Linked DNA regions of Coturnix japonica. The protein of the gene in region 1 purifies or fractionates together with the protein of each later gene. This does not show direct contact. Links are inferred from orthologs where the notes say so. Each region holds a gene or a part of one and is shown in the gene's direction. Other genes may lie near its edges.

Region 1 (3,749 bases):
TCTCTTCTTCCCCAAAACATCCCAGCTGTTCAACATTCCAGTGCCACAACCTCCCTCTCTGACCTCAGTCTGGGAGGTTTCACCCCAAGTCTTCGCTGCTGCAAATGACACCTCTGGATCCTGCACCCAAATCCACCCTGTGCTCTTGTGAGCCCTGGTGACACCAGCCCCATCCCACCGCCACCAGAGACTCCTCGTGCAGCTGAGCCCATGAGGATGTATGCAGGTGGGTGACCCACAGCCCTCAGTTGTACCACCACCAGATCACTCTTTCCCATCCAGAAGTGGCCATAGGAGACCTGGCAGTGGCTGCAAAGAGCCACAGACCATCCTGCATCCCATGACTTGGGAAGGTCACCAAGTCACCAGTGCCACCCTTCTGTCTGCTGTCCCAGGACGGAATGGAAGCACAACAGCCCTGACAAGGGGAGACAATGGGCATGAGGCCAGGATGGCTGCTTGAGAGAGCTCCTGATCTCAGCTCAACACACTGCAATGACATACAGCACTGCATAGCCTGATGACTGGGACATTAAAAGTGGTTTGCTCTTTGCTTCTCCTTGCAGGTCCTGGGTTTTCCTGAGCCCTATAGTGAGGCTGATCCCCATCTGTTCCCATGCCCACACCATCCTTCACAATAAACCCCTTTCTGTTCCCTGGTGCTTCCGCCCACCCAGTGCATTTCTGCATAGCAGTCCAAGCAGGGGCTGCAATCAGTCCTGCTCACGCCATCCCCTTTCCCATGCCCAGGGGAACCCGCATGGGAGGAGCTGGAAGCAGACAAGGAGCAGACAAGGAGTGAGCTCTGCTCCTGCCAGGCACCTCACAGGGGTACCCCATCCCATAGAGCTTCTCCCCCATCCTTCTTTCCTTCCATCACCACTTATGGGGCATTACAGGGGTATGATGTGCTGGCTCTGGACCCAGGATTCCCCTAGACCTACATCCCCATTGTGCCCCAAACCCAAAGTCTTTATCCCCATAGGGTTACACTGCAGTGTCCTCATCCCCATGGAGCCCCGCCCCCATAGCGCTCTATCTCCGCCCATTTACCGCCCACATCTCGCGAGAGTTGACGCTCAGACAATCGCCATCAGGTCGCGGAGTGATGACGTAAAGGGGCGCGGGGCGGTGGTGGCGGCCTGTTCGTTATGGCGAAGACCGTGGCCTATTTCTACGACCCGGACGTCGGCAATTTCCATTATGGTGCGGGGCTGGGTGGGCACCGAGCTGCTATGGGCCCGATCCCGGCTCGGGGTGGGGGCTGCAGGGCGGTACCTGTGCTCTGGAGCGGCCTGTGCCACACTCGGGCCTATCCCCTGCTCCGGGCCTATCCCCTGCTCCGGGCCTATTCCTAACCTGGGCCTATCCCTGACCCCTGTATGGTTTCCCTTCGTTGCAGGAGCCGGGCACCCCATGAAGCCGCACCGCCTGGCGCTCACACACAGCCTGGTGCTGCACTACGGCCTCTACAAGAAGATGATCGTAAGCATCGCAATACGGGGGGATGCAGGGCACGGGAGGTGGGATGTGGGGCCTCCAGGCACAGAGCTGAGCTGCTGTCCCTCATTCCCATGTACCAAGCCCAGGTACTTCAATGCTGAGGCTTCACCTGCATTGCTGGGTTCTCCATTTGAACGTCCAGTTGGTTTTTCTTGTCCCCTTCAGCTCCGTACTCACTGCAAGAAACACATTGAGGCCCTGGAATGCGTTCAGAGGAGGGTTACAAAGCTGGTGAGGGGTCTGGAGCACAGAACGTATGAGGAGAGGTTGAGGGAGCTGGGATTGTTCAGCCTGGAGAAGAGGAGGCTCTGGGGAGACCTTATAGCTCTCTATAACTTCCTGAAGGGAGGTTGTAGTGAGCTGGGGGTTGGCCTCTTCTATCGTGTAATCAGTGATAGAACTAGAGGGAATGTTTTTAAGCTACACCAGGGGAGATTCAGGCTGGATATTAGGAAGTATTACTTCTCAGAAAGGGTAGTGAGGCATTGGAATGCACTGCCCAGGGAGGTGGTGGAGTCACCAACCATGGGAGTGTTCAAGAAACGCTTGGATGTGGTGTTGATGAATATGATTTAGCTGGGAAGTATTGGTAATGGTTGGACTAGATGATCTTCTAGGTCTTTTCCAACCTTGGTAATTCTGTGATACTGGACCCAGCAGGTCACAGCCTGCTCATAGATGTGGCTATAAGTCTGGGCCTGCCTGAGCTCTGAGGGCATGGTGTCACAGCTGCCTGTCAGTGCTGTGCTGAGCTGTTTCTAGCTGGTGCTAATGGGTGTCAAACTAATGGGCCTGGAGCTGCCTCTAGGCAGAGCCAGTAGTCAGCATGGGCTGTTTGTTATCATAAGCTGATAGAAAAAAGCCCTCCGGAGGCTGATGGCTCCATCTTAGTGCCTGAATGGAGTTTGTTCATCCTGTTCCATGCTTCATACATGTCTTTTAACATCCTTGCAACCCAGCCAGTTCACTCAACATAGTCCAACGCTTTACTGATGTTATGATTGGGGAGATGTTTTTTCTCCTGAATGCTGAGCTGTGTAATCCTGTAAAAACATAGTCAACATCTAGTGATGATCAAAAAGAAAGCTACTGGTTTTTTATATCTCAAGAGAGGAAAGGAATCTCACCACAAATGTGTGGTACCCGTATGGTGAAATACTTTGTTTCACTTGGCATAAGGGGCGTTGAGCTCAGCCCCTTTCCTGTGAATCCTTGTTCACTTTGCTGTCTGTTCTCTAGTACAGAGCAAAGAAAGCTCTGCAGTACGGGCTGCTATGTCTCACAGTACAGGAGTGAGGCAGGGGTGCTGAGAAGCATGTGCCTGCTCGATGCTTCTGAGATGGCTGCTGTACATTTCAACCTGCAGAATACTTTGTCTGAGCTGCTGAATGCGCTGGGGCTGCTTCCTTTGTTCTTAGCTGGCTTATTGGCACCTCAGCTCTGAGGGATTGTATCTGAACTGTTTTGGCTGCTTAGGGGTTTGATTCCTGTGCCAAGTGGCGCAGATCCAGGTCACAGTGTCTGATTCACAACCCAGGTCTGGCTGCTCCTTGTCCCCAGAGCCCGTCGTCTGCTTCACGTGCCCTGGGGAAAGGCTGCTCTCCATGAGGCTGTATGCTTCAGCTCCGTGCCTTTCTAGTTGTGTGTATCTGTATGCAAATGTACTTGCTTGTTTCCATGTACATACAAGGTGTCCTCTTGTGGGTGTTACCTCTTTAAAAGGACTGAAAAGCACTTCTGTCAGAGGCATCATCTCACATAGCACAGAAGGGATAAACCATTACTTTAAGGTATGGGGATGCTGCTGCTGCTGTCTCTTCCTTTGTGTGCTCACACACCCCATCTGCATTCCTCTGTCCCGTTGCAGTTAGGCCATGCTCTCTGTGACACTCCAAACCAGCAACTTCCCTGTAACTGGTGTCTGAACTCAGTGACCAGGAGATTATGCTGATGCAAGTGCACATTCCTCTGACAGCTTTGTGCAAATAACAGTCATTCCAGCTATGCCAGGAACCTCCACACTGCTGACAGCTCCCCAGCCTTCCTCTTCCACAGCATTAAAGCTGTCACTGCACTTACAAGGAACTGACGGGGTGTTTGACTGTGATAGCAGAGAAAGCCTGTCCTCAAAGGACACTTGTTCAAGCACTCAGGAATCAGTTGATACTAAAACCAGAGCTGTGTTACTGTGAGCACGGGAGAGCAGTGGTGTTGATTCTGGCACATCTTGCTCTGGCGTGGTGTCT
Region 2 (3,749 bases), on another chromosome or scaffold:
TGGCCATTCCACCTGCACAGTTCAAACTTGTTTTGGATTCTATTATTTGGGCTTTCAAGCATACAATGAGAAATGTTGCAGATACAGGTAAATTGAGGTTTTAAGTGTTAAGCATGTAGATTGCTGCTTTCTTGCATTTTTAGTCAAATATAGTGTTCCAGTCACACTGTATTTGCTGCAGAAGAACAGTATTTTCCTATCTCAATTTCAAGTTGACAACTAGACACCCATTAACGTACTGAAATAGTTGGATGTTTTTACTCACAGAAGAGGGCATTTGTTTCTGCGTGCTTTCTCTTTATAGAGTGTGAGGTTTTTTCTGAAATGGCTGAACCGATGCAACAGCTCATAGCTGGTTTTCTGCTTCAGCTTTCATTGTGCTGTTTGGAGTGTTTAACTTCTTCCCTCACTTAGGCAGTCTCTAAGTTACTACTGAAAAAGACAGCAGAAAAATGGTGAGTGAATTTGGTCTGGGAGACAGCTATGACATAAAGCAAGGGAAGTACTCCAGACTAAAGGAAAACTCCTTTTGAACAACAGCAAGTTACACTTCATCTCAGGTTTCACTGAGAAGCTATTTTTAGCACACCTGAGTAATTAAATGTCCTCTAGGATGAGAGTTCCCAAGAAAGGCTAGGAAAAGCTGTGTAAATGTCATAAATTCTGAAAGCATCTCAACCACAGGATAAAAATGATTGTTTTGAAGCTACCTCAATACTAGCTAATTGTTTATGTTTGTAAGATGCCTTTGTGTTGCATTTCAGGTATTAAGGTAACTGTTGGTGTGATTTTTTCCCTTCCTGAATTAACTAGTATGTCTTCATAGAGTTTCTCACTTTTGTACCAGTGAAATCATGTGGTTGGCTCTTCGTGGTTCTGCCTTCTAATAATGAAAACCATGTTGGTGCTCAGTATAAATGTGGCTGCCGCCCTCTACTGGCTGCTTGAATGATTAGTTTAAACTGCAATGCTTGTCAGAATTTCTTGGGATGTTTGTCTCACTTTGAAAAGACTTAAGGATGAATGGAGCTTTTGGTATAGTTTGGTTCATTTTTCTTTTATGCAAATTTTTCAGGACTTCAGATACTTTACACTCTGCTACAAAATGTTGCACAAGAAGAGGCTGCTGCTCAGAGTTTCTATCAGACATATTTCTGTGATATCCTTCAGCACATCTTCTCTGTTGTAACAGATACTTCGCACACTGCTGGTAAGATTGTGAACCAGGTGAAAACAAGCCTTTCAAACATCATAGTAATGTTGCATTTCTTGTTCTGAATAATAACATGTATAATTTTGATCTGTTCAGGTTTGACAATGCATGCATCAATCCTTGCATACATGTTCAACTTGGTAGAAGAGGGAAAAATAAGTACTCCATTGAATCCTGGAAATCCAGTGAACAACCAAATGTTTATTCAAGAATACGTTGCTAATCTCCTCAAATCTGCATTTCCTCATCTGCAAGAGTAAGTGTCCTGTAATTGTCTTATACTTTTGAGTGGATACTTACATACTGAAGTACTAATGGATGTATTTGCTGTTAGTGCCCAGGTTAAGCTGTTTGTAACAGGACTCTTCAGTTTAAACCAGGATATTCCTGCCTTCAAGGAGCACCTAAGGGATTTCCTGGTCCAAATCAAGGTATGTTTGGCATGGTTTCTTAGAGAATTGTAAAAAATATGTAGCAGGATGATGTTTTTAAGTTTTTGGACGGTGTTCATTTATAATAGGGCATACATTTTATTACTACTTAAAATTGTCATGGCTCGAGGGTCTAGATACTGGATCATGTAATCCATTTCAGTGTAATTTAATTGTATAGGTTAAGTTTAAATGCATGCTGTTGCTTATACATTGGTCATACTTACAGGTCTAAAATGGCCATAAAGCAGATCTTGTTTCATTTCTGCTTGGGACTAGGGTGTGTTTTGAAAGTTGACAGACTAGTGCTCTGCTTTTATTTTTCCAAAGATGCTAAAATTAAAGATGATTGTACGAAAGTACATGTTAAAGATGTTCTCAGGCTACGTTAGGTAGATATTTCAAAAACTGTAAAGAGACTGTTTTAATGATAAGGTCAAACAAAAAGCAATGTTACTGTACCATGATGCATGGTGAATATCTTAGAAATTTTTGTCTTAGAATCTGATCTTACATGCTGGAAGCAAAACAAGAAATAGTCTGACAAGGATGCGAAGGGAAGATGTTACCAACATTGTTTTTGATATTTTCAGAAGCTTATTGCTCTTCCTGATGCAGTTAAAGTGAAGTAATGGTTTTGTGTGAATTGTGCAGGAATTTGCAGGTGAAGACACATCAGATTTATTCTTGGAGGAAAGAGAAACAGCCCTTCGACAAGCTCAAGAGGAGAAACATAAACTTCAGATGTCTGTACCTGGCATCCTTAATCCACATGAAATTCCCGAGGAGATGTGTGATTAAAAAACAAGTTCTGCAGTTTTCTTTCTGTGCAGCCACTTTGTTGTGACAGAAGAAAACGGCACTTGGATATTTGTTGACCAAAATGACGCCAATTTGTAAATTAAAATGTCACCTAGTGGCCCTCTTTTCTTATGTGTTTTTTGTATAAGAAATTTTCTGTGAAATATCCTTCCATTGTTTAAGCTTTTGTTTGGTCATCTTTATTTAGAATTGCATGAATTGAAAATTATTGCATTTTCAAAGTAATTATTTCATGCCCATTTTTGTGGCTAAGGGGAAAATAGGCAAAACATAAATTGTAAAGGACTATATTGCAAAACTATACAATTTCCTGTAAGAGTATCAATTTTTAATTTGGGATCATTTTCCTTCTAGCCTGCTCTACAGTCTAGGAGAAAAAGTAATGAGTAAAACAGTTTTAATTAATTGTTAAGCAGAGGATTATAGTGCTGCAATTTTTCTGATCAATTAGCAGCTTTTTGGATTTGAGTGGGTAAAGGCTAGGCTTACATGTATTTGCAAGTTGTATGGCAAGTTTGCAGCAAGATCATGTGCATATCATCCCATTGTAAAGCAACTTCTAAAGCGTATGGGAACACAGTACAGTTAGTTATTTTTACACAGTTCTTTTGTTTTTGTGTGTGTGCTGTCGCTTTGTCGACAACAGCTTTTTGTTTTCCTCAATGAGGAGTGTTGCTCATTTGTGAGCCTTCATTAACTCGAAGTGAAATGGTTAAAATATTTATCCTGTTAGAATAGGCTGCATCTTTTTAACTACTCATAAAATAAAAAAACCCTCTGGCTTTTGAGATGACTTATACTAATTTACATTGTTTACCATGCTGTAGTGCTTAAAGAACACTACTTAAAAGCAAAATAAACTTGGTTTACATTTATTTTTCTTTCTTCGGCTTATTCTTTTATTGGATGAAAATGCTGTGATCGTATTAAAGGTTTGTATCCTGAAGGCATAGGAAATGGTCCTTGAGGTCTAGGTTACCATTCTTTCTGATTTCTCCTGATCTCAAGGCTGAGCTTGAAAGCTAACATGAAACAAGTTGGGTTCTATTTGAAAGTGTAGTTTTGACTTAACACCATGACTAAAAATACTCCATACTACATTGCTATAGAATGCCAGTAATAAGGTATTCTTGCTCTCAATATATGTACTCTTTGTGTTCTATTCCAAAGAGTTATTGAACTGTATCTTGACTAGAAATTCATACTGGTACATATTAATAACACATATAGACCAGATGTGCAGTTATTTTTCTACCTAAAGTTTTGTAGTTAAATAATTTTCA
Region 3 (3,749 bases), on another chromosome or scaffold:
TTGGATTGGAAGGAGTTAGATTTTTGCCTTTGGGGTCTCATGTAAGAAACACCATCTGTTAACTCAGCAGAGGTTTATTTATAATTAATGGTAGGACTCAATCCTTTGAAGCTTTGGGTCGTAAAGTAAAAGTTTAGGAGGGCGGGGGCTGAAGCACCTCCCCTATGAGGACAGGCTGAGGGAGTTGGGTTTGTTCAGCCTGGAGAAGAGAAGGTTGCGGGGTGACCTCATTGCAGCCTTTCAGTACCTGAAGGGAACTTACTCCCAGGAGGGGAGTAAACTCTTCGAAAAGGCTGATAATAGCAGGACATGGGGAAATGGTTTTAAGTTAAAAGAGGGAAGATTTAGGTTGGATGTTAGGGGGAAGTTCTTCACTAGGAGAGTGGTTAGGCCCTGGAACAGGCTGCCCAGGGAGGTTGTGGATGCCCCGTCCTTGGAGGTGTTCAAGACCAGGTTGGATGGGGCCCTGGGCAACCTGATCTAGTAAATGTGTATGTTTGGTGGCCCTGCCAGGCAGGGGGGTTGGAACTACATGATCCTTGAGGTCCCTTCCAACCCGGGTCATCCTGTGATTCTGTGTGATTCTGTGATTCTAGAATCATTTTAAATGCTTGTTAATTATCCCACACCATTTATCCTAATTTTAGCCTCCACCCTTTGTTTTCTTTCCACACAGGGAGCTGAGACCCGGCGAAGAAAAGACCTGGAAATAAAGGCTGCTAATGAATGGGGGAAACTTTCTGCTCTGTTCATCACCTGATCTCATGCATTGAAACAATATGGTTATGTTTTTTCTCCTGAGACCCTACCAAGCTACAGAATAGAACACCTACAGTTTGTCACTGCTACTTTAATTCCTATTGTTACTTTATGGAAGGTGATCTATTATAAAGCTGTTTTGATTCTGTGAAGCCCATGGAATTGAGAAATATCTGCCCCCAGAGGTTCCGCTCTGGAGTTGGGGGAGAAAAGACGTCATGTAATAAAGAAAAAAAAAAAAAAACTATGCAAAAATAATTTCCTTTTTTCTTAGTCTGTGTGGTGTGGAATTAATGCGTTTATAGGTGGTTTATGAGCTAACCGAGGCGGTACCTCACACATGGCGCTTTATTAACTCACCGCCACACGGAAGGAAGGACCGCACGTTTCCGGCTGCTCCAGAACTGCGCAAGCGCGTCGTGCTGCCGAGCTGCCCGGACCTCCCGCCGCCAGGGGGCGCTGCTGCGGCACGGCGAGGCGAGCCGCGATTGGCTGCGCGGGTCATGTGAGGCGGAGGCCGTGCCGTTGATAATAAACATGGAGTCGATCTTCCACGAGCGGGTGAGTGAGGTGTTGTGGGGCGGGAGCGGGGCTGCGCTCTGGGGAGGCGGCAGTTGTATCTCCCGGCCTTGCGCTGCTCTGGGGCTGCCCTGTTCCCCTGCCCCATCTCCGGCGGGGCTGCTTCTCGTCTGTGGCCGAGCAGGAAGGCGAGCAGCGGTACGTGGGGCGGGTTCCGTGAGCTCGGACACCAAATCTGCCCGCTGTGGGTGTGCGGCGCTGTGAGGGACGGCATCGAGTGCTGAGCTGAGCTGAGCTTCCTGTTGGGAGAACAAATGCTTCTGGAAACTGCTGTGCTGTGTCAGGGCTCACACGTAGCAGCTGCCTGCGACCTCTGTTGTTACACTACAGTGCCCTTTATCTGCTTTGCCGGTCACTCTGCAGCTTTGCTGATATTTTTGTATTGTTTTGTGGGATCTGTTTAGGTGATACTGGTTTCTGTCCGTTGTTCTTATGCGTAGTAGTTGGTTTAGTTAACAAATAAATAGAGTTAGCTGTACAGTTCAGTGGGTTTTTGTTGTTGCTTTTAATAAGTTATTACATCAGTACAGAAGGGCCCTTTCAAAGAAATTAGAGCCTAAACTTGTAACATGACTCATTTTAACAAAGTTATCCCAGGCTTGATTTGTTCCTAATTATTTCATATGCTTCTGGTGGAAACAATCTGTGACCATTGGCAGGTCTCAGCTGTGTCATGGGGCCAGCAGCAGGAACGTGCTTCCAGCAGGGCAGGAGTTGCTGTTTAGTCTGGAGTTTCTTTTTGTGGGATAAACACAAGCTGGAGAAGCTGTGAAAGATGAGACTTTTGAATTCCATTGTACTTAGGCTGTACAGCCTGTCCAGCTTGAACTCAATATTCAGTTGAGTGGTGGTACCTTCAGAAGGGATTGTAATCTATAAAGTTTCAGGGATCCTGCTGTGAGGGAGACCAAGGGAGATTTGTGCACCTGACTTGTATGATGGAAGAGTGGACATTTAAATAACATTCTTACAAGGCACACTCTTGTATTCTTTACTTTCTGTGGAGTTTTAATTCTTTGACAATTTTGTTTTGTTTCCAACACCTTTGTCCTAATGCACATTCTTAATGTTAATATAAACAAGCATTGATGCAAAGAGGAAAGCTGCTTTTTATAGCTGATGTTAAACTTGTCTTGCACTCGTAGGTTAACTAACTCGCCTGTTATTTTTTAGAGAGGGATTGTTTTTCATGGGAAACTGTAATTCCTCTTTTTGCAAAGTCTCAATGCTCTGTTTTTCTTTAGCCACATGTGGAAAGCAGATATTTCCCAAACCTCATAGGGAACACAAGTTTAACAAAGAAAAAGAGTGTCCCTTGTGGAGAATATTTGTTAATGGGAATTAGAGATTTAAAAAAGAAAAGAATGAGTTTCTTATTTCATACAGTGATGATTTGAAGGGAGCGGAATCGATTCTCCTGATGGTTGCAAAGTACTTGTGTGACTTGGACAAACTGTAGGTGATTTTTACCCTGTTTCCCAAAACATTTTCACTTAGAATTTATTTTCTTCCAGGAAATATGTTTGTTTTCTTTTCCATCGTCAGATTAATGGAACATAGGAATGTATTCTACAGCTCACACTGTAATAAAAATGGAAAAAAATACAGTATTCTGGGAAGTGGGGGCTGGAATGAAATCATTGAATGTTTCTGCAGAGTGCGTCATTAACATCTATATGTTATTGCTTTTGACATAGTGGTGTTTTTTTCCTTTCCTAATATTAGCAAGAAGGCTCATTATGTGCTCAACACTGTCTGAATAATTTGCTACAAGGAGAGTACTTCAGTCCGGTTGAGCTATCCTCCATTGCACAGCAGTTGGATGAGGAAGAAAGAATGAGAATGGCAGAGGGAGGAGTGTCTAGCGAAGAATATAGAACATTTTTACAGGTAAAATCTTAACTTGACGTTGCATGATGTCTTCTTAAAATCTAATATTGTATAGCAAAGGCCTGCTATGCCTGCATAATTACAGAAGATTCATTTTCTAGTGCTGATGTTTTGGAAGTTTGCTGATATTTTCATTCAGGCATTTCAGGTTTGAGGTTTTTAGTGTTATTTGTACAGCTTTATAGTGCTTCTACAGGGGGCCGTGTTACCTTATCTCCTCATCTTAAGGGTAAGATGGTTAGGCATGGCAAGGAGAAGACTAAGAGATTGACTGTTTGTTTTAGTAAGCCAGGGGTAGAGACGGTAACAGAATTCCCTGTACATGTCTGTCCTTTAAGCAGTAAGTATTTGCAGCTTAAAAGTTTGAGTTATTAACAAAAATGCAAATGTTGGTGTTGTAATCAGCATACAGAGTAAAATATATTTCATTGTTGTTTTATGTATGTACAGTCATATTATTATTATTATTATTTTTAAGTGAAATTCTTTCTGAACTTTTATGCTGACACAACTTTTAACTT

Evidence for each region.
Region 2: the proteins of HDAC3 (region 1) and XPO1 purify together in Homo sapiens (affinity purification with western blotting; 3 studies listed by BioGRID, with this or other methods). This does not show direct contact. The link is inferred for Coturnix japonica from reciprocal best matches to the Homo sapiens genes HDAC3 and XPO1.
Region 3: the proteins of HDAC3 (region 1) and ATXN3 purify together in Homo sapiens (affinity purification with western blotting; 3 studies listed by BioGRID). This does not show direct contact. The link is inferred for Coturnix japonica from reciprocal best matches to the Homo sapiens genes HDAC3 and ATXN3.

Annotation. Positions count from the first base shown.
Region 1 is NC_029528.1:14,733,432-14,737,180, forward strand, and holds the start of HDAC3 (histone deacetylase 3), read left to right. Parts: upstream 1-1,054; 5' UTR 1,055-1,151; coding exon 1,152-1,206; intron 1,207-1,402; coding exon 1,403-1,485; intron 1,486-3,749. UniProt on the Homo sapiens protein: Histone deacetylase that catalyzes the deacetylation of lysine residues on the N-terminal part of the core histones (H2A, H2B, H3 and H4), and some other non-histone substrates.
Region 2 is NC_029518.1:5,218,650-5,222,398, forward strand, and holds the end of XPO1 (exportin-1), read left to right. Parts: coding exon 1-87; intron 88-1,075; coding exon 1,076-1,210; intron 1,211-1,309; coding exon 1,310-1,469; intron 1,470-1,547; coding exon 1,548-1,644; intron 1,645-2,298; coding exon 2,299-2,445; 3' UTR 2,446-3,412; downstream 3,413-3,749. UniProt on the Homo sapiens protein: Mediates the nuclear export of cellular proteins (cargos) bearing a leucine-rich nuclear export signal (NES) and of RNAs.
Region 3 is NC_029520.1:40,426,707-40,430,455, reverse strand, and holds the start of ATXN3 (ataxin-3), read left to right. Parts: upstream 1-1,208; 5' UTR 1,209-1,296; coding exon 1,297-1,320; intron 1,321-1,455; exon of another isoform or gene 1,456-1,476; intron 1,477-3,063; coding exon 3,064-3,228; intron 3,229-3,749. Other genes in the region: NDUFB1 (NADH dehydrogenase [ubiquinone] 1 beta subcomplex subunit 1), read left to right, coding at 677-713. UniProt on the Homo sapiens protein: Deubiquitinating enzyme involved in protein homeostasis maintenance, transcription, cytoskeleton regulation, myogenesis and degradation of misfolded chaperone substrates.